2 linked regions of the Macaca mulatta genome follow. The protein of the gene in region 1 purifies or fractionates together with the protein of each later gene. This does not show direct contact. Links are inferred from orthologs where the notes say so. Each region holds a gene or a part of one and is shown in the gene's direction. Other genes may lie near its edges.

Region 1 (3,812 bases):
ATGTATGAACTATGTGTATAATGGAGACTTATTCTCACAAGTATTTATAAAGCCATGTGTAAGAGAGTCTGCAAGGTATTTTAGGGAGTACAAAGATGAATAAAGGGCTACTTATTGCTAAGTACATTTTGAAATCCATGAATGTAACTGATATGCTGGTCAGATAATATTGTCTGTGGTTAGAGACTTTGGCAGCAGATAGGTTCAAATCACGGCTGTCCCACTTAGGAGCTGTGCGGCACTGGCCAATTACTTAACCTTTCTGAGCTGTAGTTTCCTCCTCTGTAATATGGTGATAATACCTTTATGTAACAACCCTCTATCAGATTTTTTTTTTTTTTTTTTTTTTTTGAGATGGAGTCTTGCTCTGTCTCCAGGCTGGAGTGCAGTGGCAATATCTCTGGTCACTGCAACCTCCGACTCTGTGGTTCAAGTGATTCTCCTGCCTCAGCCTCCTGAGTAGCTAGGATTACAGGCATGTGCCACCACATCCAGCTAATTTTTGTATTTTTAGTAAAGACAGGGTTTCACCCTGTTGGCCAGGATGGTCTCAATCTCCTGACCTCGTGATCCACCCACCTTGGCCTCCCAAAGTGCTGGTATTACAGGCGTGAGCCACCATGCCCAGCCTGCCTCCATCAGTTTTAAGTGACAGGTGCCCAGTTCATACTGACTGAAGCAAAAAGGGGAATTTATTGGTTCAAGTTCAGAGTAATCCACATACAGCTAGTTCATGGTTCCTGGTTCCAGTGTGGTCAGGGATCTTTTTGTTTTCGTGTCTCAGCTCCTCTTCTTTGGGTTGGCTTCATTCTCAGGGAGGTTCTCCTCAAGAGATGGCAAAGATGGGCACTAGCAATCCAGGCTGATGTCACTGCAGCAAGTCCAGTGGGGAGAAAGCCTCTTTCCTCCTCTTTTCTTTTCTTCTTTCTTTCTCTTTCTTTCTTTCTTTCTTTCTTTCTTTCTTTCTTTCTTTCTTTCTTTCTTTCTTTCTTTCTTTCTTTCTGTCTTTCTGTCTTTCTGTCTTTCTGTCTTTCTTTCTCTTTCTTTCTCTCTCTTTCTCTCTTTCTCTCTCTCTCTCTTTCTTTCTTTTTTTTTTTTTTTTGAGACGAAGTTTAGTTCTTGTTGCCCAGGCCGGAGTGCAGTGGCGCCATCTCGGCTCTCCCCAACCTCTACCTCCTGGGTTCAAGCTATTCTCTTGCCTCAGCCTCCTGAGTAGCTGGGGTTACAGGCATGCGGCACCACGCCCAGCTAATTTTGTATTTTTAGTAGAGATGGGGTTTCTCCATGTTGGTCAGGCTGGTCTTAAACTCCCGACTTCAGGTGATCTGCCCACCTCAGCCTCCCAAAGTGCTGGGATTCCAGGCATGAGCCACCAGGCCCGGCCCCTCCTCTTTCTCAAAATAGATCCGGGCAGACTTTCATTGGTTCAGTTTGGGTCATGTGCTCCTTTCTGAACCAATCCCTATGACTGGGGCAATGGGCAGCTCTTATTGGCTAGGCTCAGGTGATGGGTGCACCTCTGGATTAGGGCCAGTCCCTTCTGGTCCGCTGAACTGGGAATGGAGAGTGGTGACTCTGCAAGGGAAAATGGGAGTGCAGTTACCACCTTTGCAGTACTCTTTTGAGGATAACACGAGATGGTGTGTTGCAAGCAAGTTATCTCTGTGCCTCGAACGTGGAAAGCCCTCAATAAGTGGCTAGCTGCTGCTTTTATTATTATATCGGTTGAGAAAAACAGGTGATGAACAAAGGTACCTTTGATAGCACCTGTATAAAATGCACTGGCTGGAGAGGAGTGAGACTGACAGGACTGGCAGATGTCACCGGGCGACAGGCCCATGAGGGGTTATTAGGAGTTTCTCTTCTCCTTGGATCTGTCTGTCGAAATGGACAAAGACAATGGACAAATACAAAGAAAAAACAGCACAGGTAGAATGTGAAACTTCTTAAGAGAACCTCAGGTTGTATTGTGATTGCATCTGTTACCTGCTGTTCTTGGTGGAATAGAACTGAATGGTGGCTATGCTGACCATGTGATCTTTCCCTCCTAGGTTCTCCTCAGTGAACTGGCAGTACCAGTGTGGGCTTACCTGTGAGCACAAGGCCGACCTTCTCCCTATCAGTGCATCTGTCCAGTTTATTAAAATTCCTGCACAGTTACCCCGCCCCCTGACAAGGTACTCCAGTTGGTCACCTAGTGGACATTAGGAAGCAGAAAAATATATATTTGAAAATTGGAAGTTTATTCCTTTAATCAAGTTCTGATACTTTTTCACTTGTAGTTTTTGTAATCCTCTAAAATGTTTTCTAGATTCCAGATCAATTATACAGAGTATGACTGCAACAGAAATGAGGTGTGTTGGCCGCAGCTTCTATATCCATGGACTCAGTATTATCAAGGTAGGGTGAAACAGATTTCTATGACCAATTATGTTATGTCAGTTTTAAAAACAATTTAAAATGATGTCTAAATGTTACAGAAAGCGTAAAACATATAGAAACTTAAAAAAATTTACAGATAATATTGCCACTTGGAAGTGATCACCATTACTGTTGAGGCTTAGTTTATTTCTACCTACACTGTTTTTTTTTAGACAGAGTCTTTCTGTGTCACCCTGGCTGGAGTGCAGTGGCAGAATCTCAGCTCACTGCAACCATTGCCTCCTGGGTTCAGATGATTCTCATGCCTCAGCCTCTGGAGTAGCTGGGATTACAGCACCAACACACCGGGCTATTTTTGTATTTTTAGTAGAGACGGGGTTTCACCATGTTGGCCAGGCTGATCTCGAACTAGCTTCAAGTGATCTGCCTTCCTTGGCCTCCCAAAGTGTTAGGATTGCAAGAGTGAGCCACCACGCCCAGCCTACACTGTTATCACAAGAGTTAAGAAATACTGCTGCTTAATTTTGTCCATTGTTTTTCAGGGGAGCCGCATTCTCAATGTGTTGCCAAGGGCTTACTGTTGCTGTTGTTCCTCACATTGGCCATGTTTCTCAGCAACCCCTGGACCAGAATATGCAAAGCCTATAGTTAGACAACCACCTGGCCTTTTTTTTTTTTTTTTTTTTGAGATGGAGTTTTGCTCTTGTTGCCTAGGCTGGAGTGCAATGGCGTGATCTCAGCTCACCGCAACCTCCTCCTCCTGGGTTCAAGCGATTCTCCTGCCTCAGCCTCCGGAGAGTTGGGATTACAGGCACGTACCACCATGCCTGGCTAATTTTGTATTTTTAGTAGAGACAGGGTTCCACCATATTGGCCAGGCTGCTCTCGAACTCCTGACCTTGTGATCCACCCATCTCAGCCTCCTAAAGTGCTGAGATTACTGGCATGAGTCACCGCACCTGGCCTTTTTTGTTTTTGTTTTTGTTTTTTTTGAGACGGGGTCTCACTCTGTCACCCAGGCTGGAGTGCAGTGCACAATCTCAGCTCACTGCAATCTCTGCCTCCCAAGCAATCTTCCCACCTCAGCCTCTGGTGTAGCTGGGACTACAGATTCTCCACCACGCCTGGCTGTATTTTTGGTAAAGACGGGGTTTCGCCATGTTGTCCAGGCTGGTCTGTAACTCCTGAGCTCAAATGATCTGCCCACCTCGGCCTCCCAAAGTGCTGGGATCACAGATGTGAGCCACTGTGTCCGGTCCATCTGACTTCTCAAAGACTTTAGACCTTGACTTCAGTGATTTGTTGTAGTCTTGTATGCTTCTCTATAAAATTTTAATAAATGAAATGTCTTATTTTTGTAGAAAATTTTTATTAAGTGCCCTGTGACTTTAATTCATATATGTAGCTATCTGATGCAGAATGAATATTCT
Region 2 (3,912 bases), on another chromosome or scaffold:
GTACCCAACACAGGGTTAACAAAGTGCATCAGAGCTTTGTAATATTCCACTCTATCCCTCCAAGAGCCAGGGGATTTGTGTTTCCGTGTCTTGTCTTGCATTGGAGCATAGTGGAAGCAAGAGAAAATCTGGGAGCAAAGACACCTGGCTTTGGTCTTAGCCCAGGACCAGGTCCAGGACCGCGGCCAGGCTTGTGACTGAGTGGATTTCAGTAGGAACTACACTGGGGATTAACAGATGACACAAAAGCAGGTGTTTGTTGTGTGCAGGAGCGCGAGGGGAGAAGAAAAGGCACACACACAATACCTTTAAGGGTAAGCAAGCTTTATCCCACGTAAATGGCAATGCAGATATTATAATAAGCAAATTAATATAATAAGCAGATTGATATAAGCAAATTGCAATGGGAAGAGGAGAAGGAAAAAGACATATATATATTTACACTCATCAGACTATGGAGGATTCACCTCCAGACTGGGAAGCAAGAGCCTGAGCTCCAGAGCCGGCCACTCTTCAGTCAGTGCCCAGATGAGAAGAGGTGTCATGAAGCTTTGGGTGGTCTGGGATCCTAGCTCTTTTTGTAACATGTTGTCTGACATGAGGCCCAGTCACGAGGGCCCTTCGTGGCTGGGCTCAAGGAACACAAAAAGGTCAACTTGTTTTTGTGATTGTTGTTTTTCAATAACTAACGTATAGGAATAGAACGAAATAGAGATTTCTGCGAAACAGCGCTGGATGAACGCCTCAAGGGGCTCCCACAACCTGTTTCGGAACTTGGTGACCATTGTTTGTGTCCATGTCAGTTCAAATTTAAATATTTAATTTTTCCTCCTCAGTGTTCAAGTCAACTTTTATGGGCATCTTATTTTACACAAATGTTAACACAGACAACAGCCACGACTTTGGTCCACGGAAACGTTCTATCGCCGCCCAGCCTTTACGCAAAGGGACACAGCTTGAAAAGCTAGGCCGGCAGTCCCCGGCGGCGCCACGCCCGCTAACCCCGCCCTCGCCGCTGGCTCCTTTCGGTCTGGCCTTGCTATTGGCTCCTTTCCGGGAGCCGTCGGTTGCCGTGGAGACCGAGGCGATGGCAACCAGGAGAAGCCAAACTTGGTCCTCCGGCTCGCGGCGTGCCGGCGCGCGGTGCTCATGGCGCTCTACGATCTCTTCTCTCACCCGGTCGAGCGCAGCTACCGCGCGGGACTCTGCTCCAAAGCCGCGCTGTTCCTGCTGCTGGCCGCTGCGCTCACGTACATCCCGCCGTTGCTGGTGGCCTTCCGGAGCCACGGTGAGCCTGCCCCAGCCGCTGTGTCACGCGACTCCCCGGGCGCGCTCGGCCGGGGCCGGCCTCCCTGACGGCCTCCCCACCTTCTTTAATTCAGGGTTTTGGCTGAAGAGGAGCAGCTACGAGGAGCAGCCGACCGTGCGCTTCCAACACCAGGTGCTGCTCGTGGCCCTGCTGGGACCCGAGAGCGGCGGGTTCCTCGCTTGGAGCACGTTCCCCGCTTTCAACCGGCTGCAGGGGGATCGCCTGCGCGTCCCGCTCGTTTCGGTGCGTGGTTCCCGCCTGGGCCTGGGGCAAAGCGGGCGGTGGGGTGGGGACGGGGACGGGAATGAGGATGTGGGGCGAGCGGCCCCGGCCCTGGGGAACCCAGCTTGGATCCTAAGGACTCGCGAACCCGCAAAGGTGGCGTTTCATCTCCTGGGACCTAGGGAATCGATTTTCTGTTTCATTCTGCTTCTCCCAGACGTCCCCGGCCCCCAGAAAGTTAGCCACGCTGTCAGCATATGCGCCCTGATACAGAGTCCAGAGGTGTGGAGGCAGCCTGCGTCTGCCCCCGTCACACCCGCGGGCCTGGCCTGATGGAGGGTGTTTGTGAAAGTCCATTTAGGAGCCTTGAAGGCAGCGCGCTGTTAATGTAGGTAACCCCATTCTGTCGCGGCGTTTCTGCATCACACCACTGTAGGAGCGGAAAGGGCGGCATTTTTATGGAGCCCTGACCCCTGGAAACCAAGGCGCTGATTGGTTAAGCGGCCTTCCCAGAACGCGCTATGGCCGAGTCACGCCTCCCTGGGTTTGTCCCATTGGAGACTGCGTCATCCTGAAGCTGTCGGGATGAAATTGAAGCATGTTACTGTCTGTAGTTTATTTATTTATTTTTAAATTTTTCATCAGTAGAGTGCTGAGAGGAATCTGTAATTTAGTATTTGCTTTGAGATAAGCGAATGCTTCCTTTATAGTCACTCCTTTTCACTCATTTTCTGAAAACGTTTTCCTTTAGAAGTATGACACTTACGGTTTTCCTTCTTTCAAAGTTGAATCTCTTCAGACATCTCTAAGATGATTGCCCTACAAGCCAACCTTGTATAGCTGAGGAGAAAAGAAAATCAGACTTGTTCCCAGCAACTAAATAAAATTGTTTTTAAAAATCCGATTGGGCCGGGCGCGGTGGCTCACGCCTGTAATCCCAGCACTTCGGGAGGCCGAGGCGGGCGGATCACGAGGTCAGGAGATCGAAACCATCCTGGCTAACACGGTGAAACCCCGTCTCTACTAAAAATACAAAAAATTACCAGGCGCGGTGGCGGGCACCTGTAGTCCCAGTTACTCAGGAAGCTGAGGCGGGAGAATGGCGTGAACCCGGGAGGCGGAGCTTGCAGTGAGCCGAGATCGCGCAAGTGCACTCCAGCCTGGGCGACAGAGCGAGACTCTGTCTCAAAAAAATAATAATAATAAATAGAAATAAATTTTTAAAATCCAATTGGTCATATAAATAACTGCAAAAAAAAAAAAGAATAGTAATAGGTTGGCGCAAAAATAATTGCGGCTTTTGCCATTAAAAGTAGTGGCAAAAAAACCGGAATTACTTTTGCAACAACCTAATATGATTCAGGTTACTTTTCTCCTGTTACTTTACGAATGTTCTTATGTTCTGATTACAAAAGTGCATGCTCATTCTAAAATAATATAGAGTTACAGGTAGATATAATGACCAAAATTGAAGGCCCAGTTTTGTATATGTATCAATACTTATTAATCAGCCATATTCTTTTTGAGGTTTGTTTTGACTTTTTCACTATTGGGGACAACATTTCTTTTTTTCTTTCTTTCTTTTTCTTCTTTTTTTTTTTTGAGACGGAGTCTTGCTCTGTTGTCCAGGCTGGAGTGCAGTGCTGCAATCTCTGCTCACTGCAACCTCCACCTCCTGGGTTCAAGCAATTCTCGTGCCTTAGCCTCCCGAGTAGCTGGGATTACAGGCTAATTTTTGGATTTTTAGTAGAGAAGGGGTTTCACCATGTTGGCCAGGTTAGTCTCGAACTCCTGACCTCAGGTGATCCACCCGCCTTGGTCTCCCAAAGTGCTGGCATCACAGGTGTCAGCCACCGTGCCTGGCCTAGGGACAATATTTCTGTGAACAAGGTTTTGACTAAATCGTATGCCTTTAAACATCAGATTGTGAGGAATTGGAATAGCAGCTCTTTGATGAAATTAGGTAAGTACATAGAAAACTAAGCAAATCATTATTAACTGCAGGGAAATGAAAAGTAAGGAAAACTGAGAACTGAAAACTTATGAGAGTTGTGAATAGGATTTACATAGTCTTAATTATATGAACACTGAATGTTGACTAAAAAGAGATTTTAACTCTGTTGGGGGTAATGAGAAAGGTATTGAGAATGTGATAGGGGATGGTGGGAGGAGTTGGGGGAGAGAAGAAGCTAAATCATCTTTCCTTGTGGGAACTCAATAGAGAATGCCTAAAACTGAGAAATTGAGAATTTTCAATGCAAATGTTATCTCAAGACCTGGAGATACATTTCTAAATGATCAAGTAAATGAGATAAAAATATTTGCAGCTAGATATGATAGCTCACACCTGTAATCCTAGCACTTTGCAAGGCCAAGGCAGG

The links.
Region 2: the proteins of TCTN2 (region 1) and TMEM231 purify together in Homo sapiens (affinity purification with mass spectrometry; 3 studies listed by BioGRID and IntAct, counting the BioPlex papers as one, with this or other methods). This does not show direct contact. The link is inferred for Macaca mulatta from reciprocal best matches to the Homo sapiens genes TCTN2 and TMEM231.

Annotation. Positions count from the first base shown.
Region 1 is NC_133416.1:131,132,220-131,136,031, forward strand, and holds the end of TCTN2 (tectonic-2), read left to right. Parts: intron 1-2,051; coding exon 2,052-2,177; intron 2,178-2,311; coding exon 2,312-2,400; intron 2,401-2,924; coding exon 2,925-3,034; 3' UTR 3,035-3,747; downstream 3,748-3,812.
Region 2 is NC_133425.1:70,906,520-70,910,431, reverse strand, and holds the start of TMEM231 (transmembrane protein 231), read left to right. Parts: upstream 1-1,149; coding exon 1,150-1,288; coding exon of another isoform or gene 1,289-1,382; coding exon 1,383-1,552; intron 1,553-3,912. UniProt on the Homo sapiens protein: Transmembrane component of the tectonic-like complex, a complex localized at the transition zone of primary cilia and acting as a barrier that prevents diffusion of transmembrane proteins between the cilia and plasma membranes.